Saccharomyces cerevisiae S288C: one gene and its partners. Changing the gene in region 2 together with the main gene of any one other region gives a genetic interaction. Each region holds a gene or a part of one and is shown on either strand. Other genes may lie near its edges. The genes, in order: YBR242W, HSP32, CDA2 and IRC4.

Region 1 (7,939 bases), on a different chromosome or scaffold from region 2:
TTCGCGCATATGCTAAGGCCTTCTGGTCTAACATTGAAAGAATTGAAGATTATGAGAAATATCTGAAAATAATTGAGAATGAAGAAGAGAAGATCAAGCGTGTCAAAATGCAACAAGAGGCTTTACGTCGGAAGTTGTCTGAGTATAAGAATCCATTCTTCGATTTGAAATTAAAACATCCTCCTTCTTCTAACAACAAAAGGACGTACTCTGAAGAAGAAGATCGTTTTATCCTTCTCATGTTATTCAAGTATGGCTTGGATAGAGATGACGTATACGAATTAGTGCGTGATGAAATTAGAGATTGTCCCCTATTCGAATTAGACTTTTACTTCAGAAGCAGGACACCTGTAGAGCTAGCCAGAAGAGGAAATACATTACTGCAATGCTTGGAAAAGGAATTTAACGCAGGGATTGTATTGGATGACGCCACTAAAGATAGAATGAAGAAAGAAGATGAAAATGGTAAAAGGATAAGGGAAGAATTTGCAGATCAGACCGCTAATGAGAAGGAGAACGTTGATGGAGTAGAGAGCAAAAAAGCGAAGATTGAGGATACGTCGAATGTTGGAACTGAACAGTTGGTAGCAGAGAAAATTCCGGAAAACGAAACCACTCATTAAACCTTCTTTTTTTATATTTCGATTTTTTTTAATATATCCTACACCATGCTTCTGAAGAAAAATATATAATCATACTAATCTATAAATGTATTATTTATTGTTCCGGATAATTGCTTGATTATAGACAAAGATATCATTTACTTAACAGGCTTTGGATTTCTTGGTCCAAGGACGATGGTTTTGTTAAGGAGGAAAATCTTTGGACAACCTTACCATTGGAATCAACTAAGAACTTTTCAAAATTCCATTTGATACCCTTGAAACCTAGTAAACCTGCTTTTTGGCTTTTCAAATAATTATAGACAGAGTCAGCATTACTTCCGTTAACATCAATCTTCTTCATAATTGGGAATGTAACGCCATAATTCAACTGGCAAAATTCCGTAATTTGTTCATCAGAGCCCGGTTCCTGCTTCCCGAACTGATTACATGGGAACCCCAAAATAACAAACCCCTTATCTTGATATTTTTTGTATAGTTCTTCCAATTCTTTATACTGCGGCGTGAAGCCGCACTTGGAGGCAACATTAACTATGAGAACTACTTTGCCTTTCAGTTGGTCAAACTTAAAAGATTCGCCTTTCTTGTCCTTGCATTCTAAATCATAAAAAGATGTGGTCATTTTGAATTATTACTTTTTGTTGCTAATTGTATTCTTGTCAAGGTCAGCCATGCAGGGAAATGCAAGTTCTCTGCGCTACATCACATATTAGCAAATAGTAGTTCTTTATATATCAAAACAATAACAAAAGTACCTGCACATTTTTTAAAGCAGGCTGGCTTAGGGGCTTTGCACTAATACGGAGACAATGGAACTAATGCCTTTCACGATATGTGTGGCAGATATTGTGGTTTTAAACTCTTTGTCATCGGAATTACTAATTGTCTAGATATGGCCGGCCGAGTAGCCTCTAAAAAATATTAAACAGTTGAAAGTAAAATTGCTTGGAAAACACTACTGAGTCGTTGGTCATTTCAAGAGACTGCATCTATCAAAAATAGTCAAGATTTGTGTACATGTTCGTCGTACATTTAGTAAGTAACGTCCGTATTTTCCTTTTTTTAGCGGATGATGAGTAAAAAATTTCTTGTGGATTTATATGTTACGAATACAAACACAGAGGTTGATGCATGAATTTTTTCTAGCTACTACCATGTGTTTAATACAATAATAGTACAGGTTTCCTTCATCTCCTGTATATGGCCCTTTCCTTTTATATTGCCTCAATCTCGAAAAATGCTTTACTAAACAGCGCGAAAATTAAATTGTTAACATGTGTATATAACTGTGAAATATGTAAATAAAAACTTTATCAAGTAGAGCAAGGCGGAGAACGGTAACAAAAAGTAGACTATATGTTGCGACTTTTTTCACTGGCACTTATCACATGCTTAATCTACTATTCCAAAAATCAGGGCCCATCTGCTCTTGTTGCGGCCGTGGGATTTGGTATAGCAGGCTATTTAGCTACAGATATGTTGATTCCACGTGTGGGCAAATCCTTCATCAAAATAGGCCTATTCGGTAAGGACTTGAGTAAACCTGGCCGTCCGGTGCTTCCAGAAACAATAGGTGCTATCCCTGCTGCAGTTTATTTATTTGTAATGTTCATTTACATTCCCTTCATTTTCTACAAGTATATGGTCATAACCACTTCAGGTGGGGGCCATCGCGATGTCTCAGTGGTTGAAGATAACGGTATGAATTCTAATATTTTTCCTCATGATAAACTATCTGAATATTTGAGCGCTATCCTATGCTTGGAAAGTACGGTCCTCTTGGGTATCGCTGATGATTTATTTGATTTACGTTGGAGACATAAGTTTTTCTTGCCTGCCATTGCAGCCATCCCACTGCTAATGGTTTATTATGTGGATTTTGGAGTTACGCATGTACTTATTCCCGGATTCATGGAACGCTGGTTGAAAAAGACTAGTGTTGATTTGGGGCTGTGGTATTATGTTTATATGGCATCGATGGCAATTTTTTGCCCCAACTCCATCAACATCCTGGCAGGTGTTAATGGTTTAGAGGTTGGCCAATGTATAGTGTTGGCCATCTTAGCGCTATTGAACGATTTGCTGTACTTCTCGATGGGGCCATTAGCCACAAGAGACTCCCATAGGTTTTCCGCTGTTTTGATTATCCCATTTTTGGGTGTATCCTTGGCGCTATGGAAATGGAATCGTTGGCCCGCCACAGTGTTTGTGGGAGATACATATTGTTATTTCGCTGGAATGGTATTCGCAGTCGTTGGTATACTGGGTCATTTTTCAAAGACGATGCTTTTGCTATTCATTCCTCAAATCGTTAATTTTATTTATTCATGTCCTCAGCTATTCAAATTGGTCCCCTGCCCGAGACATAGGTTACCTAAATTTAATGAAAAAGACGGTTTAATGTATCCATCAAGAGCAAACTTAAAAGAAGAACCGCCAAAGAGCATTTTTAAACCGATCTTGAAGTTACTATACTGTCTCCATTTGATTGACCTGGAATTTGATGAAAATAATGAGATTATTAGCACCTCTAATATGACGTTAATAAACTTGACATTAGTATGGTTTGGCCCTATGAGGGAAGACAAATTGTGCAATACAATCTTGAAGTTGCAATTCTGCATTGGAATTTTGGCTTTACTTGGAAGACACGCTATAGGCGCTATCATCTTTGGCCACGACAACCTATGGACAGTACGTTGAAGATTATGTATTGGTAGTTACTTTGTACTTTTATGACGCAAAAGTTGGTATTTATGATAATTATTTAGTTATCGATTGAGTCAAATCGGCGAAGTATTTTTGGCGCTGCACGACAAGGTCACTTGTCCAGCCCTTTACTTCGTCTGTTTTTATGCTAGCTACAGCCCCAAAGAAATCATCGAAGTTTTTCGTTCCTTTGTATTCCCTCTCGTACTCAAAACATTGTACAAGCATTTCATATTTATCGATATCTTTCACGTATCTAGCTTCCAATGAGGTGACATTTTCATAAGCCAACCAATCGTCCATAATTTCCTTTGCCGCGATCTCATTGTATGGCTTGATCAGAGCATTACATAGATATTTTATGGTTTCCCATTCCCGACGATGCTTTTCTTCCTTCCCAATAGGGTCAACTGGAGTAATATCGCCAACTAAAGATTCGGCGATATCGTGCACCAATGCGATCCGGACACATTTATCGCGGTTAACCCGCGAATCCTTGATCAGCATGGTGATTATGCTCAATCTGTACATGTGATCTGATATGCTTTCACATTCTTTAATACCGAGGTCAAGATAACCGGTTCTTCTCTGAATTTTTAATTGCTGTACCACGTTCAAAAACGCCAGGATATAGTTTGGATGGGGTTTAGAGAGCTCATTTTTAACATATTGGGGTACTTGGCTTTCAGGCTTCCATTCAGTTGTTAAACGTGTCTTTCCTGCCTCAACAGAACCAGAGCATGATTTCTTATTTGTGATCGTTGCTGTCATATTTTTTTTATGTAGGCTTTCTTTGACAATTGTTTTTTATGAGAATAAAAATAGTGCAGAAGGTTTATTAGAAATGGAAAAGGTTTGCTCCTGCGAAAAAAACCATTCAGTGGGTATTTTCAGGCTTTATAATGACCAATGGACAGAGTAAAACAGTCTAATTATGATAAAACCATATTTATAGATTAAGACTTTTCTTTTATACGTTTCAGTAATGTTTTTTTTTTTTTTAATAAACGAAATAAATTTTTAACATCAGGACCGAAAAAATGCGATGAGCTTTTAGATCGACGAAAAGTGTAAATGATTTACCTAAATATATATATATGTTAGCGAAAAAAGCTTAGCTTCTGGGCACAGTGCTCGGTACACTTTTGGTAGAGCTGTAACGAGCAATGATACGCGGTCTGTAAAACGAACTTGCTTGTGTAGTCATACGTCGTAGGCGTAATGTAAGGTTGTCCGAGAAAAGATGGGAAGTGTGAGGGATGAAATGGATTTCCCTTAAAGTTGCTTCCTGATTAAGGGAATAACAGGAGAACAAAAGTTGCTGAATATCTTTCTCTCTTGGAACAACAACAAAACACAGAGACTAAGGCATAACAAACTAAGTCATGGCTGAAACTGAAAGACTAATGCCTAACGGTGGTTCCCGCGAAACAAAACCGTTAATTACGGGCCATTTAATCTTGGGCACGATAGTTGCTTGTTTGGGGTCGATCCAGTACGGATACCACATCGCAGAGTTGAATGCGCCTCAAGAATTCTTATCGTGCTCCAGATTTGAGGCACCAGACGAAAACATCTCATACGATGACACTTGGGTTGGGCAACACGGACTCAAGCAATGCATTGCGTTAACCGATTCTCAATACGGCGCAATTACGTCTATATTCAGCATAGGCGGACTGTTTGGGTCGTACTACGCCGGTAACTGGGCCAACCGATACGGAAGAAAGTACGTGAGCATGGGCGCCTCGGCCATGTGCATGGTTTCTTCTCTGCTGCTTTTCTTTTCCAACTCCTACTTGCAGTTGCTATTTGGCAGGTTCCTGGTAGGCATGTCCTGCGGCACCGCCATTGTGATCACACCCTTATTTATCAACGAGATTGCCCCCGTGGAGTGGAGAGGCGCTATGGGATCTATGAATCAGGTTTCTATCAATCTAGGTATCCTGCTGACCCAAACCTTGGCACTCAAGTACGCAGACTCCTATAACTGGAGGTGGCTTCTCTTTTCCGGATCCGTGATTGCGGTAGCGAATATTTTAGCTTGGCTCAAAGTGGACGAATCTCCAAGGTGGCTGGTGAGCCACGGATTCGTCTCGGAAGCTGAAACTGCTCTGTTCAAGTTGCGTCCAGGAACGTACCAACAAGCGAAGCAAGAAATTCAGGATTGGCAGCGTAGCCATGGGCACAACCGCGACCCGGAGTCAAGCGAAGAGACTCATTCAGGACCCACACTATGGCAATATGTTACCGATCCCTCATACAAGAAACCGCGCACAGTTATACTCGCCATCTTGTCGTGCCAGCAATTTTGCGGCATCAACTCTATTATCTTCTACGGTGTAAAAGTGATCGGCAAGATTCTACCGGACTACTCGATTCAGGTAAATTTTGCCATTTCCATCCTCAATGTCGTTGTCACTCTAGCAGCATCTGCGATCATCGACCACGTCGGGCGCCGTCCATTATTGCTTGCCTCGACTACGGTGATGACCGCCATGTCGCTGCTGATCAGTGTAGGTCTCACCTTGAGCGTATCCTTTTTACTGGTCACGGCCACTTTTGTCTATATTGCCGCATTCGCCATCGGTCTGGGACCCATCCCCTTCTTGATCATTGGTGAGCTATCCTACCCGCAGGATGCCGCTACAGCTCAAAGTTTTGGTACTGTGTGCAACTGGCTTGCCACCTTCATCGTCGGATACCTCTTCCCGATAGGCCACGGCCTCATGGGCGGCTACGTATTTGCGATCTTCGCCGCCATCGCTGCCATGTTTGCTACATATGTGTACAAGCGTGTACCCGAGACAAAGGGCAAGACTACATACAGCGAGGTTTGGGCTGGCTACTGATCTGTAGCCAGTCATATATACCTAAGCAACTATTTTTTACTTCTTTCTAGCTATTCATCTGTTTTTTATTTTCTTCTTCTTCTAGTAACGAACGGCTACATGAGTATATGCACTCATTTAGTTAGTATCTATGTATATGTACGGAACTAGGCAAACCAAATGGATTGCTGTTGTATGAGATCCGTGTGGCGGAAACCATGACTACCGCTTGTACTGCCGGGGCCAAAATAGCACACGCGCGTCATGAGTCGCTCACGGGCGAGCGTCTATCTGCATATTTTCCTGAGCCCAATATTCGGTTCTGCGTCTTAGCGGCATAAATGCATCCGGCAGGACTGCCGAGAAAAGGAATATACAATGGCAGCCCTCTTGGCGCATTTGATGTATGCGGATTTCCAACCAATCTGCGAATGCATCCGTGCCAAAATGAAACGGCATTTAGCTTGAAAGAGTCGGAATTCCTGCATCAGATGGGTACCATTTTACCACAGTCTTTTGACTCACGCAGAGTACTCGCGTGCAATTGCTTGCAGGTATAATATATACATATATATATATATATATATATATATATATATATATGTACAATTTGTATGACAAGTGGGTGCACCTTTCTCGGTCGGAATTATATGGGGAACTAATACTACGGGTTAGAGCTATAACAATTTCTGCACACTTTAAAAGCGTTTTCATTTCATTTCACCACGTATATATATAGCCTATATATATATCCGCACTAGAACCAAATGGTCAATAGTAAGAGGCAGCAGAGAAGCAAGAAAGTAGCGTCATCCTCCAAAGTGCCCCCCACCAAGGGGAGGACATTTACTGGGTGCTGGGCATGCAGATTCAAGAAACGCAGATGCGACGAGAATAGACCAATCTGTTCACTGTGTGCCAAACATGGAGATAATTGTAGTTACGATATCAGACTTATGTGGTTAGAGGAGAACATCTACAAAGTACGCAAGCATTCACTGATCAGTTCATTACAGGCTCGCAAATCGAAATCGAAACCATTGTGCCAGAAAATCTCAAAATCAAGGTTTAAACAAATGACCCATTTTAGACAACTATCACCCCCGACAAGTGACTGCGAAGACAGCGTGCACGAGGCAAGTAAGGAAACTACGCTTCCTAACGATAATACATTCACCATAAGCGTACGGAGATTGAAGATATACAATAACGCTGTGGCCTCTGTCTTTGGTAGCATGACAAATAGAGATTATACTCAAAAGCGCATAGACAAGAAGTTGGACGAATTGCTTAATATGGTGGAAAACGACATATCTGTGGTCAACCTCAATTGCTCCAAACACGGGCCTTACTCAGTTTTCAGGGCCAATCCGGCTGCAGTTACCTCTGCTCTTACAGATCAGCTGCCGTCGCCGGGTCATTCGATGTCGTCAGCAGAGGAAACCACTACTGCAGCGCTGTCATCGCCGCCAGAAGACAGCACCTCTTTGATCGATATTATCCAAGGCAAAATTTTCGGGATCCTATGGTTTAATTGCTACGGGAACATGATATTGAACCGACAAGAATACACGACGTGGTTCATCAATAAGATGAGGAACTCGTTGACCACGGAATTCATACGCTTCCTTGGGAAAATAATTGACGACCCGGACATCAATATGGCCTCGTGCCTGTTCAAAGAGTGCATCGCTCGTTGGAGTTGTGTCGATTGGCAATCCATAGCTATAACAATGCTGGTCATCATTCATGGATATACCTGCCCCAACTTGACAA
Region 2 (8,085 bases):
CTTCAACAATAATACATAAACATATTGACTTGAAGTACGAGCACTACCATGACGTCATTAACGTAAAAGTTCCTTAATATTCCCATTTGCTTGAACGGATGCCACTTCAGAATATTTCGTACTTACACAGACTTCACATTAGAATATTATGTCATCCCATTGTTGTGACACTCTTTATTCACCGAGCAATAATACGGTAGTGGCTCACACACATGTGGGCGCTATCCCCTCAACTCTATTCCAGTTACAGTTACATAAAAAACTAACCTAACAAAGAAATAATAATATTTATGTCACAAAAATCAGGGTCTCTTGCTATGACTTGCTACTTGTTTTGCCCTGATCTGCAATCTTATTTTTAAAAGTGACGCATATTCTATAAACGACCCCGAGGCGACGCGCCAAAAAATGAAAAAAAGGAAGGACACATTTTTATAGAAAGACAAAAGGCTGCGAAGCCGCACATTTCCAAGTTCAGTATTGCTTATTGGACATACCCTATTAGCTTTATTACCATGCACCCTTTTCCAGAACAGTGACGCAAAAGAGAAGTTTCTATTTTGGGTTTATTGTATTGAGAAAATACTCCACAAACACTGTTATTGATCAAAAATGAGTTGTCATATTAATATACATTTACATATGAGAAATTGTATTTATATCAATAGAATAACATATTTTATTTCATTTTCTTTACTTTTTAATGTCTATGGAATTTCGTTCGTAAAAGCTTCTCTCTATTTTGGAATAGCAGTGTAGATACCGTCCTTAGATAGAGCACTGGAGATAGCCGGTCTCAATCTGGTAGAGTACCATGGGACACCAGTGATGACTCTGGTGACTTGTTCAGCTGGAATACCAGTCAACATGGTGGTGAAGTCACCATAGTTGAAAACAGCTTCAGCAATCTCAACTGGGTAGGTCTCTGTTGGATGAGCTGCTTGAAACAAGTAGTATTGAGCCAAATGAGCTCTGATATCGGAGACGTAAACACCCAATTCGACCAAGTTGACTCTTTCGTCAGATGGAGATAGAGTGGTAGTGGCTGGAGCAGCGGCAACACCGGCAGCGATAGCGGCAACACCAGCAGCGATTGAAGTTAATTTGACCATTGTATTTGTTTTGTTTGTTAGTGCTGATATAAGCTTAACAGGAAAGAAATGAATAAAGACATATTCTCGAAGGCATATAGTTGAAGTATCTCTATTTATACCTATTCCTTCATTGGTCATCACCACTTAAACGATTCGTTAACAGATGCTCCTTTAGCACTTCACATATTCTCCATATCTCATCTTTCCCACAACTTCATGATCACTATGAAGATGTTTTTGTTTTTAAACGAGGCATGCATCTTTATAGATTCTGTATGCGAAGGTATTGTTTTCTGGGGCCTTTGTCTATTCGTATGCGCCGAATGTGAGAATGCCAGTTATAGGGGTGCCGAGGTGCCTTATAAAACCCTTTTCCGTGCCTGTGATACTTCCTTTTTTGGTATAGCAGAATGTCTGAATTTAGTTGCTATAGATCCTCGTTCAGAAGCGTATTGCTAAGCCTATCTCCAGTATACCCTAAACGATCGCCGAGAAAAAATAATACTGTACCCTCCTATTTCCCGGAATTGTACAGAATAGTAGGTATGTGCTGGGAGTCGTATATTGTTAGAGTCTGTAATTTTTACGCGCGCCTAGTGGATTCGTTGATACGATTACGTTATTCTAAACCGTCGCAAAGCAAATTGTGTTGAAGTAATTCAAGACTTTAAATCACTTGTACCAAAATCATTGTTGCGAAAACTTATCCTCAGTATTAGTTTCTTGACCGTAACAGTAGTTGAAAAAAATAAAATCATTTCTATGATCGATACACTTTCATTATTTAACTTCTCTATTATGGTGTAACTTCTTACTTTTGTCAGAAAAAAAGATTTCAAGACACAACAAGAATGGGGTCAAAGGTCTGCTTGTACTATCAGGAAGATTTGATACCAACCGCGTTATAAGGGTTACTAGAAAGTAATAGCTGCTAAAAAATTTAAACCGAAGAGATTAATCAGAAAGCTGAAAAACTGCAGTGTTAGTAGAGTTGTAAGCATTTCTTGATTGGAACAGCCTTCCCCCACACGTCCACCCTTGTTCAGACAGATTCGTAATGATTTTGTGTGTAGGCAATGGAAAACTTTAAAAACGGTTTGATTTCCTACAAGATAAAACATATGAATAAAATAACTTGTGTCAAATGCCCCATTTCCATACTGTAACCCAAATCAACGAAATAAAAAATAAAACCTCATATGATTTACTTTATTTAGTCATAAAAAAACAAAAAAAAAAAAAAAAAAAAAGGAAACAAGACAATCCTTTATAGTTTGTTTCCATCATGAAACCTATGACCAGCATATATACAATCGTCCCCCAGTTCCTCTTCGATACGCAAAAGTTCATTATACTTGGCCAGTCTTTCTGATCTCGACAAAGCGCCCGATTTAATTTGACCACATCTTAAACCAACGACCAAATCAGCGATAAACGGATCTTCGGTTTCACCTGATCTATGCGATATCATTACACCCCATCCAGCATCGAAAGCCTGATTGGCGGCTTCAATAGACTCAGTCAGAGTACCGATCTGGTTGAGTTTCAGCAACAGAGTATTCGCACATTTCTCCTCTATAGCACGGGCGATCCTGGTCTTGTTGGTGCATGTCAGGTCATCTGCAATAATCTGAACATTGACAGTCTTTAGGAAGGCAGACCACGAGGACCAATCATCTTCGGCGTAGGGATCTTCCAGGGAAATGATTGGGTATTTCTTTAGCAATGAATGGTAATATTCTGCTAACTGGGCTGGACTGAGCCAGTGAGATGGGTCAGAGTTCGGTTCCTTGAAATTTAGGTCGTATTTCCCGTCCTTATAAAAAACAGAAGGAGCACTATCGATTCCTACTTTCACTCTACCCTCGTAACCGCATATGTTAATGGCTTCCACAATCATGTCCAAGGCGTCTTCGGCAGTGTCAATATCGGGGGCAACTCCACCCTCGTCACCAACATTTCCAGCGGAAGGTCCATATTGCTCCTTCGCCAATATCTTCAAATGATGGTAAACTTCCGAACCCATCCTCATGGCTTCTGCAAAGCTCTGAGCCCCGACTGGCGCGATCTTGAATTCTTGCATAGCTAAAGAGCCACCGGCGTGGGCTCCACCATTCAAAACATTGAAAAAAGGAACAGGAATAACAAAGGGGTCCTGTCTAGCATCCGCTAACTCGGCTATATACTTGTAGAGAGTAATTCCCTTTTGTGCGGCAGCAGCTCGAGCAACGCACAAGGAAACACCAAGGATAGCATTGGCGCCCAACCTTGACTTGTTAGAAGTTCCGTCTAACGATATCATGAGCTCGTCTATGCCCTTCTGATTGGTTACACATAATTCGGACTTGATTAAAGCAGGCCCTATGATACTATTGACGTTACTGACTGCCTTGGTCACCCCTTTTCCCATCCATTCGGACTTGTTCCCGTCTCTAAGTTCAACAGCTTCGTGAATGCCGGTGGAGGCACCAGATGGGACGATCGCTCTGAAGAGACCATTCTCTGTTGTAATTTCAACCTCAACAGTCGGATTGCCGCGAGAATCATACACCGTTCTAGCATGTACCTTCGTGATGGACATATTTTTATCGTTGAGATTCGATTTTTTCCTCACCTTGTTTTGGTATTTCTATTGCAAGACAAAGTGAAAGAAGAAGAAGTGGTGGTAAAAAATAACTATATATAATGAAAATTGTAACCTGGTGGGAGTGCAAACTGTAAGTGATAACCTGCCAGATCCATGTTTCTATTATATACCTAAGAACCAGCCAAGTTAGGTAAACGAGGAGTCTTTCAATATCTCTTTTCTAGTGAGAATGTTATTTAGGTAAATGAACAAGTTACCACTATACTACTCACCCCCTACACTTTGTTTGTGACCTCTCCCCTTATCCAGTTCATCGAAACTTTTTTTTCAACTTGTGGCGATCTGTGACATTGTCTACTACAAGAACCGATTTTGGTTGATGTCTGTAAAAAAAACAACCTTACCTTTCCAGATCCAACTTTCCAGGAGAGCTGCGTGAGTTTCAAATATTTACCATGTCGGAGAAAGCTCCCAAGTACTTCCTTGTTCTTGTCATTTTTTCCTTATCTCCATCCTTTAAGGAAGGTATTTCCATTATGCGATTCTATAAATCCGAGCATGCGAGTATTTCTTTTCTTGGCGCGGAGTCGCTGATGACGCAATAGGCACATTCACGAACATCCAGGACTGGTAATCTTCTCGTCTTAAAGAAAATCCAACCACCAGTAAGAAACTCTTGGGTAAAATGGGGTATCTGAAATATTGCATAGCTGCAAATGAAGATATTCAGTATCAGCATAGGTATTTTCATGAAGGATAGGTAAAAAGAAAGAAAAGAAAAATATCTTTTTGACTGTTGTTCTTGCAATTATCACAATTAGGGGACTTTAAAACCGATACTTGATATATGAGCACAGTCAAGGGGCCGGTTCTTGAGATTTTAATGGAAAAGAGGAAAGTTGCACATACAGGTCTGCTTTTCTTTGCTTGCTCCAGACAACGATACTTAGAACTAAAACATATTTCTAGAACACTTTTCTCCTTCATTCAAAAAGAAAACTGGCCTTGCAATGACTCCAAAAAGAGCGCTAATATCTCTTACTTCATACCACGGTCCCTTCTATAAAGATGGTGCGAAAACAGGCGTTTTTGTAGTTGAGATTTTGCGGTCGTTCGATACTTTCGAAAAGCATGGTTTCGAAGTGGACTTCGTTTCTGAGACTGGTGGATTTGGCTGGGATGAACATTACTTGCCAAAGAGCTTTATTGGTGGCGAAGATAAGATGAACTTTGAAACGAAAAATTCCGCCTTCAATAAGGCGTTAGCGAGGATCAAGACCGCAAATGAAGTCAACGCCAGCGACTATAAAATATTCTTTGCATCTGCTGGACATGGTGCTCTATTTGACTATCCCAAAGCTAAAAATCTGCAAGATATTGCATCCAAGATATATGCCAATGGGGGTGTGATCGCTGCCATCTGTCATGGACCGCTCCTTTTCGATGGATTAATAGATATCAAAACAACAAGACCATTAATCGAAGGCAAAGCTATAACAGGTTTCCCACTCGAGGGTGAAATCGCCCTGGGAGTTGACGACATCTTGAGGAGCAGAAAATTGACAACGGTTGAACGCGTTGCAAACAAGAATGGAGCCAAGTACTTGGCGCCAATCCATCCCTGGGATGACTACTCTATTACAGATGGAAAGCTAGTTACGGGTGTTAACGCAAATTCTTCCTATTCGACCACAATTAGAGCTATAAACGCATTATATAGCTGAAACAAAAGACAAGGGAATTGTTGAAGGGGAGGCTTCTAATGGCTTTCAGTTTCTGTGAAGAGAAGGCTAACAGCTCAATGGTTCGAAAGGTAAAGAAAACGGCAGGTCGGTAGCACTCGATTTTGCTAGAATGGAAATCATATAGAGAACAATTGAATAGTAGGCCTTGGTTTTTAGTGTTGTACTCATCATGGTCATATGTGACATAGGTAATGTACATATATATATAAAAAAAAAAAAAGCAATGCTGTGAGATCATTCGTTACTTACGAAATACGCAGATTGCAATTTGAAATAAGCTGTGTTTTCTTTTTTTTCCTTTTTTTTTCTTTTTTTTGGCTTGTTATATACAACTTTTTTCTATTTCTGTTCTTTTTAGAAGTAATTAATTGGTACATAGGAAATAAATATGAATTATATTAAATGAAGTAAAAGTAAAAGAAAACGGGGAAATTTATCGTTTTGTAGTAAATAGATGATGGAACGCATTCATAAAATCTCACAAAATATTACAATAAACCGCAGTAGTCGGTAAAAATGTATTATACAACGTCTAAAATCTTGAAAATGAATTAAAAAAAAAAAAAGGTGGGATGATTGTGCAGGAAAAGGTATGAAGAAAAGATCCTAACAAATCGGGTTAGTCAATCCTCTAGTCCAAGCATAGGATCCGAGAGTTATCACCAATAAGCAATATGAAATTCCAATCGAAACAGTATAATAAATAAGCATGTTAATAAATGATAGCTTATACCCTTCATTGATAAACGTGCTAATGGTACTCAAAGTGCCGCAAAATCCGGATATTAACGCAGAAACAATATGGCATGAATTCAACGAGTTCACAATTGGAATATCCGTGGAAAAGTGTTTTTTACCACGTTGCACCATGGTAAATATGCCAATCAATAAAGTGGCGAAAACGTTTGCCAAGAAAGTACCCAATGGAAACTTTTTGTTTGTTTTATTAAACATTTCTGCCAACCAATATCTTAGGAAACCAGCGAAAATTCCAAATAGACATGGTAGTGTCCACTTGCCCCTCGAATAGTTCTCATAATACGCACACAGCACCACAAACAAAATAATTAATGGAAAAGCTAGTGCGTACGCGAGTTTATCCACAACATCAAAAAATTTCTTAAAAAATGGTGCTGGAGTTTTGAATTTAAACTCTAGAATATTTTTTTCCATTTCTTGTGTATCAACATCACCAGCATTTTCCTTTACAGTGTCTGAGGGAGGGGTATATGGCTTCGAAAACGAACTAGATCCATAAGCAACAATAACCTCCTTACCAAGTTGCCTACCGAAAATAAGACTACCCATGGAAACCATAAGATGAACGAGCAAGACAGATAAAAACTCCATTATACCGTAAGCTCTGTTCGGCAGTTTTGTGTGGTTAGCGATATTACCGTTAGTTAAGTTTGTAGAGTGTTCGAACATCTCTAGCAGCATACTAGAAAAGGAAGACAGGGCACCACAGTACCCAGTAGTTACACCTAAAAACAAGACTTGGTGATCTTTCATCCAAGTGTAAGCATTTAAAGATTGCATAATCCCCATTAGCATGCAGGATGAACAATTAGACCAGAGAACGGTCGGAGCAGTAACGAAGGCCGGAGTGTAGGTGGAAAGCGCCGTTATAGCCTGACGTGTTTCAGTACCTAATATGCAGAACGTGGTGAATGTACAAAAAACATGAATATAATGGCTCAACTTGTGATTTGATATGACCGGATTGAAAATCATCAGAGCATTACACGCTCGATTAAATAATTAAATAACTGCAGATTCTTGAGCCACCAGACGCTAAATAATAATGGCGGCAATAAATATAATCCTTTAGTACTTATTTCAGTTGTTTTTTGTTTTATTTTTTCCGTATCTCTTCCGTATCTCTTCCATCATTGCGTCAAAAGTGATTTACACTGCTACATGAATCGCGCCACTTTATGTCAGTGAATCTTTCATACATCGCAACTCCTCACTGACAGTGACTCTAGCAGAGTCACCATCTTTTCGATATACCCATCAAAGTGCACGATTCTCCTCCCCTGTTAGACAATCGTAACGTAATATCGACATGTATTCGTAGCACCGCTGCCAAATAATTTTCAGATCGTTCATTGTACATGAACCAAGCGCTGTTGCTTTACTTTATGATATTGCTGCTGAGCTCCCTTGTCTTTCATACGACGTTTTATCTTGATTTCATATCTTTTTTTTTTGGTAAAATAGAAAATACTCAACAGATATCTGATATGTATATAAACACTAAATAAAGAAAATCTTAAATCTTGCTGGCATGACTGTCGCTGTGTCTCAAATCTCTTAGTAATTCATAGATGTGTATCACCCCAAATCTCAAAAACTTCATAATTATTATTGGATTATCTAGAAATCATACCCTTCATACTGTCCCACAATGGCCTGCTCACATGAGGCGCTAATGATTACGATTAACCATCAAATCATTTATATTGATACACTGTAGTTTACTGTTAATAACCAACCTTTGTCGAGATTCATCAAAGTGGGTTCCAAATCCCTCATTGTGGGAACCTGGTTCAGTCATACCCATTGGAGATGGGCCCCAGGAAGGAGTGTAACAAACTTCATCCCAATTGCATTGCCTCTCACAACGGTAATTTAGTTCAATCCACCCTAGAGATTC
Region 3 (8,589 bases), on a different chromosome or scaffold from region 2:
TTCAACCAACATAATAAACTTCAGCAAGAGGACTAAAATCGCAAATATAGTGGAGGAAATTATAAGCTTTAAAAGATTCCATTACAAGCTGAAACGATTGGATGATATTCAGACCGTTATAGAAGCGTCTTTGGAAAATGTCCCCCACATTGAAAAGCAGTATCAATTATCACTGCAAGTGGAACCGAGATCAGGAAACACCAAAGGCAGTACGCATGCTTCTTCTGCTAGCGGTACAAAAACTGCAAAATTCCTAAGTGAATTTACAGATGATAAAAATGGCAATTTTTTGAAGCTAGGTAAGAAAAAACCTCCTTCTAGGTTATTTCGATAAAAGTTTATACAATTTGCTAATCAAGAAGAACCTTAGCTTTATGTTTGATTGCTACACTCTATTATTTAAGATGGCTGCTTTTACTTAATATTCTTCGTGATAATACTGTACTGGTGGAGTGTTTTTCGTTTTCGAGGATTTGAGAGTACGCTTCATTTGCAGTTCTTCTTGATAAAGTTCGTTTTATATATATATATCTATTTTATATCTTTATATATTTTATTACACCCAGTTAAGTTATCGATCCAAGATTTTAAATGCCCGATTAGAGGAAACTTATTACCTGAAAAAATATCAATTAGTGATTCTATGAAAAGCTATTACCCGCATTCTCATAGTTCGGATTTTCAGATCCAGCAATATAAGAGAACCAAATGTAGCAGAAACGTCAAATAGTAAGCAACAGGAGTTACATTTGAGGTGATTTTAACTTAGGGAAACATTTGCTGATTCAATGTTCAAACAGCTGTCACAAATTGGTAAGAATCTTACCGATGAATTAGCGAAGGGCTTAGCCGATGATATGAGCCCTACCCCGTCAGAACAACAAATCGAAGATGATAAGAGTGGCTTGCCAAAAGAAATACAAGCTAAATTAAGAAAATTTGAGAAATATGAACAAAAATACCCTTTGCTACTCTCCGCATACAAAAATGAAAAATTAAAGTCAGAGAAGTTAGAGGCTGTTGAAAAGATTTTAGCGGAAAATACACCCATATCTAATATTGACGACGCAGTGGATACGTTGCCAGCTTTTTTCCAGGATTTAAACAACAAAAATAACCTATTGAATGATGAGATCAAGAGATTAACTAAGCAGAACTCGGAAATTCCAGAAAGCGCCTCTAGTGAAACTCTGAAGGATAAAGAAGAGGAATTTTTGAAAAAAGAGCAAAATTATAAAAATGACATAGACGATCTAAAAAAAAAAATGGAAGCTTTAAACATAGAATTGGATACTGTACAAAAAGAAAAAAATGATACTGTTTCAGGTTTGAGAGAAAAAATAGTTGCACTGGAAAATATACTAAAGGAAGAAAGGGAGGCCAAAAAACAGAAAGAAGAAGTATCTATATCCGAACTGAAGGAAGAATTGGCTATAAAGAACCATTCTCTCGAGGACAGTCGAATGAAGATAACCGAATTGGAGCAAAATTTGTCTTCGAAAAGTACTATAATGGAGGAAAAGTCCTCAGAGTTGGCAGAACTAAATATTACTTTAAAAGAGAAAGAGCGCAAGCTGAGTGAATTGGAAAAAAAAATGAAGGAGTTACCGAAGGCGATATCTCATCAAAATGTAGGAAACAATAACAGAAGGAAAAAGAATAGAAACAAGGGAAAGAAAAATAAGGGAGGCATAACTACGGGTGATATCAGTGAAGAGGAAACGGTCGATAACTCAATCAATACTGAAGAATATGATAAGCTTAAAGAAAATTTGCAAGAATTACAAGAAAAATATAAAGATTGTGAAGATTGGAAGCAAAAGTATGAAGATATAGAAGCAGAACTAAAAGATGCTAAAGAATTGGAAAACTCACAGCTCGAAAAATCAGCAAAGGAGCTGGAAACCCTTAACACCGAGTTGATCGATACCAAGAAGTCATTGAAAGAAAAAAATTCGGAGCTAGAGGAGGTGAGAGATATGCTGAGGACTGTAGGCAATGAGCTTGTGGACGCAAAAGATGAGATTAAAGAGTCTTCGAGTAAACAAAATGAAGAAGTGAAAACCGTTAAGCTGGAGCTCGATGATTTACGCCATAAAAATGCAACGATGATCGAGGCCTACGAAGCTAAAAATACTGAGTTGAGAAGTAAGATAGAGTTATTGAGCAAGAAAGTAGAGCATCTGAAGAATTTATGTACAGAAAAGGAGAAAGAGCAGACTACATCGCAGAACAAGGTAGCCAAATTAAATGAGGAGATATCTCAACTTACCTACGAAAAATCAAACATAACAAAGGAGCTTACTTCTTTAAGAACCTCTTATAAACAAAAGGAAAAAACTGTGAGTTACTTGGAGGAACAAGTTAAACAATTTAGTGAGCAAAAGGACGTGGCTGAAAAATCCACAGAACAGCTGAGAAAAGATCATGCTAAAATTTCTAACAGATTAGACTTATTAAAAAAGGAAAATGAGACACTGCATAATGATATCGCAAAGAATTCTAATTCCTACGAGGAGTATTTGAAAGAAAATGGTAAATTATCGGAAAGATTGAATATTTTGCAAGAAAAATACAATACCTTGCAAAATGTAAAAAGTAATTCGAATGAACACATAGATTCTATCAAAAGACAATGTGAGGAACTAAATGTCAAGTTGAAGGAATCTACAAAAAAAATTTTATCTTTAGAAGATGAACTAAATGAATATGCTAATATTGTTCAAGACAAAACCAGAGAAGCTAACACATTGAGAAGGTTAGTTTCGGACAGTCAGACAGATGATTCGAGCAAACAAAAAGAGTTGGAGAATAAATTGGCCTATTTAACGGATGAAAAGAATAAATTGGAAGCAGAATTAGACTTACAAACATCCAGAAAGGCCACTGAATTACAAGAGTGGAAGCATACAGTAACTGAGCTGAAATCGGAAATACACGCTTTAAAGCTTCGTGAAGAGGGACTAAAATCAGAGGTTGACGCATTGAAACATGTTAACAATGACATCAAAAGGAAGACTCAAGCCACTTCAGATGATTCCGATCAGTTGGAACAGATCACATCTAATTTAAAACTCTCATTGTCTAAGGCTGATGAAAAGAATTTTGAGCTACAGTCTGCCAATGAGAAACTTCTGAATTTAAATAACGAACTTAACAAGAAATTTGATCGATTACTAAAAAATTATCGTTCATTGTCCTCTCAATTGAATGCTTTAAAGGAAAGACAATACAGTGACAAGTCAGGAAGAGTTAGTAGGTCTGGTTCTATCGGTACTCTAGCTAACGCGAATATTGATTCCTCACCAGCGAATAACTCTAATCCAACTAAATTAGAGAAGATACGATCATCAAGTTCATTGGAGTTAGACTCTGAGAAAAATGAAAAAATTGCATATATAAAAAATGTTTTGTTGGGATTTTTGGAGCACAAGGAACAACGGAACCAATTACTTCCTGTAATTTCTATGTTGTTACAACTGGACAGTACTGATGAAAAAAGACTGGTTATGTCTCTGAAGTAAAAATGTAGCTGAAAGCAGAAGATACGTATATATTGAAACAGTTTTTTTCTTCCTGAAATATATCAAGAAGTTGCTGCATGTCTATATATAAAATACTAAAGCAATTTCTTTTTAAATTGTAATTTAATTCTTCCTTATTTTCTTCAATTCCCTGAAAATTAGGACAAGAATTCTTTTATGTAATCAATTCCGCCGACACAATGAGAAACTGTTGATTGATCATCACCTATCAACTTATTTATTTTAATGGCAAGATCGACAGTTTTTTCCGTTGAATCGTGTTCTAATATTAATCCGGTTCCTGACTTGTTCCAGTTTATTACATTTTGAAGAATTTCTTGTTCAGTTATGACAGAATCATTGAGAAGGAGGCTCCAATCAAAAGTATCGTGATCCCATAAGACGGCTTGTAAGCCAAATTGCCTTGTTATTGCTCTTACTCTATTATCTATTCCGCCATATGGAGGTCTGAACCATTTGGGGGTATGGTTGCCAGTAGCATTCATCGCCCAGATGGACCATTCAATTTGAGCTATAATTTTTTCATTCGATACATTTGGCAAATATACGTGAGACCAGGTATGTGAGCCGATTAAGTGTCCCTCCTTTTGCATTCTTTGATAGATATCTGGATGTTGAACTATATTGACACCTAAATTGAAGAAGGTGGAATTATGCTTCAACCGGTCCAATAATTTAGTAGTGGAAGCAGAAGGACCATCGTCAAATGTCTGGGAAAGTTTGGAACATGTGTACACATCATCGTGTTCGGTGCAGTGATGGCAATCGAAAGAGCACGAGTCCCTTGGAACACTGTCGCAATGGTTTTGATCATATTCCTTATAATCTGGAATTTGACTGAAATCAATGAAATCTAAAGGTATATAAGGTGGATCTAACCCAGGCCATTCTTTTAACCCGGTAAATGCACTAAGCCAATCCGGAAAAGGCGTTTTTGTAGCTGCCCTTTCCAATACAGGAAATTGAAAGTCTATCTGCTTTAAATCTTCCCTATTAGCTTCCGCGTGAACAAATTGCCCCAGACAGGAAAGTGCAATAATACATTGCAAATCAATTGTATTTAGTTGTATTCTCATTTTCAATTGCCGATCCGTAGAAATAATAACAACTCTTTTGCAGTTTGTTTACCCACTGTGGGTTTTTGATAAATAATAGAGGATTACTGAAGGAGAGAGAATATTTTAAATGGATTTTGATAATACTACAAAAGAATAGCCAGTAATTTTTGCGTTGCGTCACAAAATCAAATATCTAGTTTGTTCCCTGACGCATGTTTCTCATGTGTTACCCGTCCTTTTGTAACCTTCACTGCTACAGCCGTACTATGTGGCATTTATGGGTTAATAGAAAGTTCCATTAATCCGACATTAAAATTGGATGGATTAATGGAGAACACAAAGGCAAAAAAACAATGGAAGAACAAAGAAAATTTAGCGGAAGTAAAAATAACAGCCGAAAGCCAAATTCAGGCTTATCTTGCCTACTCTTTCTTTTATCGAATTCCTTTAGGCCGTTGCAATAGAAAAGTAATAAAAACGCATATACGTAAGTTGTAGTCAGTGTAATTGCAATCTATTATGCGCATCAGGTGCGCATACTACATCCATTGGTGCACAAAAAAAGGAACGCAGACAAGAAAATTATTCAGTTTGCTGTTCGTGATGAGCCATCCCTGAATATGACTAATGTTAATGTTCAATTTGGGATCTTATTTTTTTTTGTGCAGTAATAAGAATCTTTGAAAAAAAACTATATAAGCCTATATAGTTTGTAAGATATAAGACAAAACACACCTGCTTTTCCACTACACATTTTCGTTATTATATAAAAAAGACAGCCAAGTATACTTGTCAACAAAATAAACTCATAGCAATTACACTATAAAAACAATAGCATCAAAAATGTCACTAAGAAACATATCAATGATCACAAAAAATTTGCAAACAACTGCCAAGTGTTATGTCCCAAAAAGTTCACCTACATCAACAACTATTCCGGTTATAAGGGATGCTAGTACTACTCAATGTCGCAGAATAACTACCGTCATCAATATTACGAGTCTGAAAGGATATTCTCCATCTCCAAGAACAGTTCATGATAAGCCAATTGTTATTTGCACTGACAACGAAGAGGTAGAGACTGTATCGGAGCACGTAAAAGTATAATTTGAATTAATCTACTCTTAACACTGTTCAAATGTACGTGTAACGTTTTGACGCTAAAAGATTCTAAAAAATTACTTTTTAAAGTTATACCCTCTGACTTTATGTGACATCAGCATCCTAAGTACCTACCGTTCATAATTTGACGCTTTTCCTTATACATTCAAGCATCGATATATATGATTTTTATATATGTCCTCTATTCTAATACATACTTTTTTACTTTTGAAATAACAAAATATTCTTTTTATTTTTGCGAGTTGAATAATTAAATAAGAGATCAAAGATATATAGAGAGAAACTTTATTTCTCGGAAATCTTACTTCTAGTCGTAGCGTTCGATGTAGTCTGTATCACCAATACATTCTGCAATTGTCAATTGGTCACTACCAATAAGTTCGTTGATTTTAATAGCAACCTCAACTGTTCTTCGTGCACCATCGTGCTCTAAGATCAAACCTTTCCGTTTTCCCTTCCAAGTATTTATGTCCATAAGTATTTCTTCCTCTGTTCTGAAATCATCATTAGTGATTAATTTCCAATCAAAAGTATCGAGATCCCACAAGACAACCGTTAGGCCAAACTGTTTTACTATAGCTCTAACCCTATTATCAATTGCACCGTATGGAGGCCTAAAATACTTGGGGAAATGTTTGCCTGTGGCATTCATAGCCCAAATTGACCATTCAATTTGGGCTACAATTTCTTCGTTTGATAAACTTGGCAAGAATTCATGTGACCACGTGTGTGTACCAATCAAATGACCCCTCTCTAAAATATGCTCATATATATCAGGATAATTAACAGTGTTTATCCCCAGAACAAAAAAAGTGGTTCTTTGTCTCAATTTCTTGAGCAATGCCTCTGTCGCCGGGGCCGGACCGTCGTCAAATGTTTGGGAAAGTTTGAAACACGAAGTTACATCATCAACATCGATGCAGTTATAGCAGTCAAATGAGCACTGCTCTCTAGAAATTTTGGGACACTGGCCAGGATAGTACCTATCTAATTCTGGCACTTCAGTAAGATTTATGTAATCTAGCGGAATATAAGGTGGGTCAATTCCAGGCCATTGTGTAAGATTAGTAAATTCTGTTAACCACTCTGGAAAGGGCGTTTGCATATCTACTTCCCCCATCAATGCGGTACTCCCATTTGACGCAAGGCAATTTCCCTGTTTTAGAAAAAATGCTGCGAACAGCACAGATTGTATTGTATTGAAAATTTTCATCTCTTTTCTTGTGTAAAAGTAAATCTATCACTTAATTTTGTTTCTCTATATTCCACTTTGCTTACTTCTAAGCATCTACTTTGTTAGAACTATTGGTCTTTTTGAAAACACAAAAGTAAATCAACCCACTTGTTGGTATTTTTCTCTTTTAATTGCGATTGAATGACGGCCGGTCCGGAAAATGTGACATCTGGAAAAGAGAAATGTTGAAGCTGCTTCCAAGTGCATGAGACAGAATTTTTTTTACAGAAAATAGAAAGCGTTATCTTGTTAAATATTACTAACTAGTATAGTCATTCATTTTTTTCTTCCATAGTTGTAATATCTTTATTTTTTGTAAGAATTAGCGATAGCTGAGATTGCGTTCTTCAACTTCCTGCTCTCTCTTAGTCTTCTATCCAGGGTATCTCACCTTCCTGATTATCTTGTCAATAGCCATGGCTTCGCTGTTTCTTTATTATAAGAAGTATTTTTTGTTTTCTTCAAGAAATTTTTCGTATTAATATCTTTATGTTTTGTTTGCCTTTACTGGCCAGAAATTTTATACTTATTTTGAATAGAACACATTAAGTTCTACAGGTACCTGCAAAATATCGAGACAAAAGTTTGAACGAGAATATAAGGAATGTTGGTCATAAGGCGTAAACTAACAGAAGATGGCGGTAGCAAGATGTTACCAAGGCGACAACTCGCCTAGTATGTCACAATTATCTATAATTTTATTGTTTATATATAATCAAATCAACCGAAAATTACTCTGAACTTGACTCAAGGAGAAACTATGTTATCATATTTGACATGTTCAATTGAACCTCCAGACATGGTCAATCTCACAGCTTCAGCAAATTCTTTCTCACCCTCACACAGTAACTTTGCTGCATCCTTGTTTAACGGGTCATTGGGATTAGGCTCCAAGAACAAGAAAAGAAGCCCGGTTATAATACTCTGCAAATCTAGAGCTGGCGACCAGTCTTCTCGAAGAATATTTAGGCAAACGTTCCCCTTTAAATCGATATTTGGATGAAAGATCTTCTTCAAACATACAACTTTTGGTGGTTCAATCGGATAAACTTCGTTAAAATCCAAATTGAAATTAATAGATCCATAATTATAATATCCTTCATCAGGCCTAACAATTACCTCCAATTTCGGCGATTGTGATCTATCCGCACTATCTGGTGATGTTATTACATTCAAAGTCACTGTTGGTGGGAGGTCCAGCGAATCAAGGTCCCTTTTCAAACGAATTCTTGCTGCCGATAAATTAGGCTGAATAGAACTGCTGTTTTCATTTTCTTTTTGCTTTTTCTTTTGTAATTGGCGTAATTTCAACTATTTGAATAAAGCCAAGAATATACATATCCAGTACACATATACATTCTCACCCCCCAAAAAGATTATGTTAGTATTTTCGATCGCTAAAAACCGCCAATGAGAAACGGAAAGATATAGTTGCATCTACGTACCATTTTTATTATCTTGTTTTATATTCTCTAACTGATTCTTTAATGTCTCTAAGTACATTTATGAATGATTGGCCTTTTTCATCTCATTTTACCTTTTGGCTGATATCATCAAACGGCACGCGCAGGGATGAAGGTACGTTAATAGTATTTTTTTTTTTCAAGAATACTGCGAAGATGTTTGAGTT
Region 4 (5,408 bases), on a different chromosome or scaffold from region 2:
ATACCACACATAATCTCGCAATTATGTGAAGCCAAAATAATCAAGCGAAACCATAAGTCATATTTAGTGTATGCTGGCATATCAAGCCTTTTCGAACCTCTTTATAAATTTTTGTAGTACCATTGACTCTTCAGACTAACCATGATAAAATCTTTTTATAGAAAATAAAAAAAATGGAAATCGTAAATGCTTGGTATTTAAAAAGTACCCATTTCGTGCATCTAAATATACTAATATTCAGTGAATGGTGATAAAGGTACTCCACACTTACTTGGATCACTCTTGTGATCAATTTAAGATACCTATATGTGTAACCGTATTATGTAATTATGAAGTATAAGTCGTTGAAAGACTTATACTTTTTAGGCGTAATATCAGATGGAATCAAAGAAATTATAGAAAACAGTAGATCAGAGATCCTGCCTTTGGAATTCTGTAATTCAACATATGGAAAAATTGATGCGAAATCACAAGAGTACAGGGATAATTTGGTAATGTATCTCACTAGTTACCATTGTTTTGCTACGCGTACTATCTCGTTTCAATCACCTCTTCTATAATATTACTAAAAAATGTTCATATGTTATATGGCGTACCGATAAAGTTATTGCATTTCTCATGCGATTTTAACTTCCTTTTCAAGTCAAGGATACTTTGTGCAAGCGTAAATCCTTGCTCAATCTCCTCTGCTCAAAATGAAAAAAAAAAAAACGCAGAATCATATGCAGGATGCAATATTGCTTAAATGATTCTATATTTTGCACTTATGTGTGAAGAGTGTAATTTTTGATCTTCCATTTTAATGTTATGCACATAGAGCTGAAATTAAATGCGTCATATATAATTATTATGAGTGAGTGGATTTTGAGATAATTATTGGGAATTCATTATTGCTTGAGATAATATTATTACTTATACAGAATACACTAGAAGTGCTCCTCGGGGACATAGAGATCCATAAAAGGGAATCGATAATTCTACACATTAATCTGTTTTATTTCTTTATCTGTTTTACACGTTTTCATTCATTATCTTATTACAAAATCAGCCCTTGCGCTTCATGTTCCATTATACTCGCAGACTGTTTCTCATCATTTATCTCATCTTTAACTCCATTCAGTATATTATCTTAATAACGCGACTACTAGTAGTGAATAATGGTCAATTTTTACTTCAGAAACTTCCCTTGATTTCATTCATAGATGTTATTTCATTGTCAATTTTTACTCTTACTCACCGATTTGAATGACAGTAAAGAACTTTGCTCAATTAATATTATATTTGTTGTTATCGTCTAACGCTGTAAGTATATGGTACTATCATAAGAACCTCAGTAGTGGAATATGGTTGTTTCTTGTGCTGACATGATTCCGGATGGCCTGTAGGAAAGTATCCAAGATTTTTATTATCAGATACCGGTATGCATTCCATAATGCCAGAGTTTGCGTTCTTACGTCAAAGAACAATGATGCTACGGAGCGCAAGAAAGTGACGTGGCCAACTATCAGCGCGCTAGGATATGTATGCACTGCCGAAAGGCTGAAGCGTATCGTACATTAATTCATAAAGAGAAAGAAATCTCAACCCTGAATTTAGGATAGCGAAGTGCAATAAGAAAAACTTTACCATTGTTTTCAGGATGAATTCTATATCAGCCTGTTTATATAAACAATTTGACAATAGTGCGTAAAGCTAAAAAAGGAAGCATGCCCTTTGTTCCTTATCGGGTGGAGAGGGCCGCACTTAATCTCGAGCGGATATCAGGTACCAAAAGCCTAATTGAAGCAGGCAAATTTTTTTTCCCTATTTTCTTTTATTTGAGTGTGTACATACTAATATAAATTTGATCAAATAATGAATGCGATTAAAAATCAATATTGGCAAATGGAAAAAAATCTAATAGCGGCTAATAGTGAGACTTACATCGCTATAGATTGGTAATTAAACGAATTAAATAATAACAATTGAAAAAAAAAAAACTATCATGAGAGAATATACCAGTAAAAAAGAACTAAAGGAAGAGATTGAAAAAAAATATGAAAAATATGATGCAGAATTTGAAACAATCTCTGAATCTCAAAAAGACGAAAAAGTTGAAACAGTGGATAGAACACCCTCTGAAAACCTCTCTTATCAATTGGGCTGGGTTAATTTATTATTAGAGTGGGAAGCAAAGGAAATTGCTGGGTATAATGTGGAAACTCCTGCGCCTGGTTATAAATGGAACAATTTAGGAGGATTATACCAGTCATTTTATAAAAAATACGGAATCTACTCCATTAAGGAGCAAAGAGCCAAGCTGAGAGAGGCCGTAAACGAGGTCTATAAATGGATATCTACTTTATCTGATGATGAGCTCTTTCAAGCGGGAAATAGAAAATGGGCTACAACTAAAGCTATGTGGCCTGTGTATAAATGGATCCATATCAACACGGTTGCTCCTTTCACAAACTTTAGAGGAAAAATTAGAAAATGGAAGAGACTAGTGCCTGAAGAACAACGCATAAAAAGGAGGAAGATATAATGAGAAAGTTGTATATGGCCGTCTATTTTTTTTCTTGCAGGATTTAGAAACTACCACAGGAAAACCTTTTTTAATATCATATTTTTTGATATTATTATATTTGAGAAATGAATCTCGATTATTATGAGTCAATTTAACAAAACCTCATATAATGTACAGCAGTATAAAGACAAAACTCTCTTACGCTTACCATAGCCTCAATAACATGTCACAATACGAACTTTTTATGTTCTTCCCATATATTTTATTGTACTCTACACACACAGTATTGATCATATAGTTAATTTACCTTACTATACGCTAACCTTTAAAGCAACAAAGATATAGACGATACCATACATGAATGTCGATCAGAGACGTATGGTATAGCTTGTGTCACATTCTGCTATCGTATATGGTATACATGGCACATACTTTAAATTTTAAAGTAATGTCACTTGATTAAGATCTTTCCTATACGTCAAGGTCTCGAGATAAAACTTTATGTCTCAAATAATACATGCTAGGCATATAATGACCCATTTTCTGGAGTTGATGTACTCAAGACATTGGTTAAATATCAATCACGCATGATGATAGTGCGCCCTATTATAACCCATTTTTGTCATCGTCATCACGCTTCATCACCTGAGAAAAGTAACATACAAACTCAACGCCTACTAAGATTAATACATCAAAAACGATATCGTTGCCATGTACGTGCCCTAACTGCAGAAGAGAACTTCAACACTTGGACTAAAATTCACATGAAATTCTCCTAACATTCTAACATCGGTGACATCATTCCAAACCTCTTTGTAAAAGAATATATGAACAACATATGCATTAGAATAACGTGCCGTTAATTTTGCTCGAATTAACTTACCCCAGACTTGACAAAAATCTAAAAACTAACTACTCAGAAACACAAGCAAGCCTTGTGCATAAGAAAGATGTAAATCCATAGCATCAGCAGTTTCGAACTTGATACACCTCCAATTATTGCTTCATAAAGAATACATCTCCGTCTGGTAATGCGATGGCCCCGGTTTAGAGTACCCTTCTTGCGCAAGGTACTTGTGTGATAAGTAGCGCATTTTTTGCACATCACGTATGCTACTTTTGTATTCTTCACTAGCAGGCACTACAGTTGAAATAGAATTGAAGCTTGAAGTGTCGTATGGGTTATTCCGATTAGTTCACCTATTCGCATATTACGATTTTATAATCAGAGTGATATCAATGAGTATTATAACCTTTAAGTCATTGTGCTTATGCTATCTATAAACGTCCAGCGGCACATAATTCATCTATTTATGCAATTCCTACAATAAATGTTGATATCTTCATGGAAATTTCTTAAGCACAAACTTGTATTTAATATCCTGCATAAAGAAAACAGACATCTAGAAAACTTTCATAATTTTCAAAATAATCTTCCTTTATACACACTCTAGCGACCTGGGTTTACATTTCCGTGTATGATTGCTTTATATAATAGGACAATAAAGGAAAGTCGCTAGAAGAGAATATTATAGAAAGCTAAAGTGTTTAGAAACAGATGACTTAGAAGCACCTCTGTAATGTGGAGACAATGGTCTCAAGTTGGCGCATACATCAGTTTGCCACAGCGACAGAAGTATAACCGATTAACTCAACATGAAGGATCCTAGAATATACCGCAAGATTCGATTATCGATCGTCTACTACATCATAGTAGCAGTTAATATTACTAAAATACATGCATCTTTTGTATGATACATGATCAATATATATGATTATATTACTTCTTTCAGTTTAGCATTTTAAGGATATTAGCACCACAGGCAGAATCCCACTTTTTCAGTCTCTCATACTCTCTCAGTTTGATTGAGATTTAACAATATCAGCACATTTTAGAAGATGCTACAGTCAAATACCGCCTCATCTAAAGCATGTTCTACATATATCACAACGTCACGTTGAATAAGGCCATGTGACACGGGTTTCTGCCGGTCGACATTCCAAGCATTGTATTACAATCTTCTTTCATTATGACATACTATTGCATTTTCTAGGGAATATTCAAAGCTTGTCCATACCGAATATAAGCGATCACGTTTTGATTACCATTTTTTTTTTTACCTACTCTGTCTTTAATATTAGAACTATACATGGGTAAGATTGGTAGATGATAGTATATACCTATAATTACAGTTTCATAGAATGGAACTTTTAAATTTTATTCTAACTTTTATGAAATACCTTAAAGCGCAAAATACAGGCTGACAGGATAACCACAATGTCTCAAATCCCACCTGCATTAGCTATTTTTAATAATCAGTTCATTATTTCCATTTTCATGTATACGGTTACTATGCAATTAATGGTAATGCATATTCATTGGCGAAGGCAGATATCTCCAAAAGTTCATTCAGCACGAAAAAATGCACCGCACGCATCAAATGATGTTTTGAATTTTAGCACTTATGTTTAAAGACTATTCGTTGATAATCCATTGTTTCCACTATTTTCAAAATCTTACCAAATGACAGCTGAACTTGCCGGAAAGCAGGGTTTTTGTAAAAGTAATACCGTTCCTTGCAATTGCATACAGGCCATGAGTACTAAAAATACTGTGGTCATTTTATGCAATCACTAGACACTCAAGAAACTGTAGAAAAAGATATCAGCAGAATACAAAAAATCTTTAACGAATGATTGTATTGGAGATTTGGAGTCTTAAATAGCTATGTGGCATTTAATTGAGTCTATTGCATAGTTCCTTTGATTTTATGTACGCCCTCGCCACTATATTTCAATGATATAGTGATTCAACTTATAGAGTACATATCTGCTTAGGAGCAACATACTTGAATCATTTTTGTTAGCTACATTCCTTAAATGGTCGCTAGGGAGAGAATTT

The links.
Region 1: mutations in HSP32 (region 2) and YBR242W together harm fitness more than expected from each alone (negative genetic interaction), as found in Saccharomyces cerevisiae (one large-scale study listed by BioGRID).
Region 3: mutations in HSP32 (region 2) and CDA2 together harm fitness more than expected from each alone (negative genetic interaction), as found in Saccharomyces cerevisiae (one large-scale study listed by BioGRID).
Region 4: mutations in HSP32 (region 2) and IRC4 together harm fitness more than expected from each alone (negative genetic interaction), as found in Saccharomyces cerevisiae (one large-scale study listed by BioGRID).

The regions. Positions count from the first base shown.
Region 1 is NC_001134.8:700,834-708,772, reverse strand, and holds YBR242W (5'-deoxynucleotidase), read right to left. Parts: upstream 4,104-7,939; coding exon 3,387-4,103; downstream 1-3,386. Other genes in the region: chromatin-remodeling ATPase ISW1, read left to right, coding at 1-623; glutathione peroxidase GPX2, read right to left, coding at 757-1,245; ALG7 (UDP-N-acetylglucosamine--dolichyl-phosphate N-acetylglucosaminephosphotransferase), read left to right, coding at 1,980-3,326; VVS1 (Vvs1p), read left to right, coding at 4,718-6,184; THI2 (Thi2p), read left to right, coding at 6,931-7,939. UniProt on the Saccharomyces cerevisiae protein: Catalyzes the dephosphorylation of the nucleoside 5'-monophosphates deoxyadenosine monophosphate (dAMP), deoxycytidine monophosphate (dCMP), deoxyguanosine monophosphate (dGMP) and deoxythymidine monophosphate (dTMP).
Region 2 is NC_001148.4:7,196-15,280, forward strand, and holds HSP32 (glutathione-independent methylglyoxalase family protein), read left to right. Parts: upstream 1-4,691; coding exon 4,692-5,405; downstream 5,406-8,085. Other genes in the region: seripauperin PAU22, read right to left, coding at 738-1,232; phosphopyruvate hydratase ERR2, read right to left, coding at 2,362-3,675; FEX2 (fluoride transporter), read right to left, coding at 6,033-7,160; YPL278C (uncharacterized protein), read right to left, coding at 7,858-8,085. UniProt on the Saccharomyces cerevisiae protein: Catalyzes the conversion of methylglyoxal (MG) to D-lactate in a single glutathione (GSH)-independent step. May play a role in detoxifying endogenously produced glyoxals. Involved in protection against reactive oxygen species (ROS).
Region 3 is NC_001144.5:743,969-752,557, reverse strand, and holds CDA2 (chitin deacetylase CDA2), read right to left. Parts: upstream 4,622-8,589; coding exon 3,683-4,621; downstream 1-3,682. Other genes in the region: Ras family guanine nucleotide exchange factor CDC25, read left to right, coding at 1-334; IMH1 (Imh1p), read left to right, coding at 789-3,524; DPA10 (Dpa10p), read left to right, coding at 5,447-5,710; chitin deacetylase CDA1, read right to left, coding at 6,033-6,938; NEDD8-conjugating protein UBC12, read right to left, coding at 7,707-8,270, 8,405-8,407. UniProt on the Saccharomyces cerevisiae protein: Hydrolyzes the N-acetamido groups of N-acetyl-D-glucosamine residues in chitin to form chitosan and acetate. Chitosan is a component of the spore wall.
Region 4 is NC_001136.10:1,514,252-1,519,659, reverse strand, and holds IRC4 (Irc4p), read left to right. Parts: upstream 1-1,984; coding exon 1,985-2,524; downstream 2,525-5,408.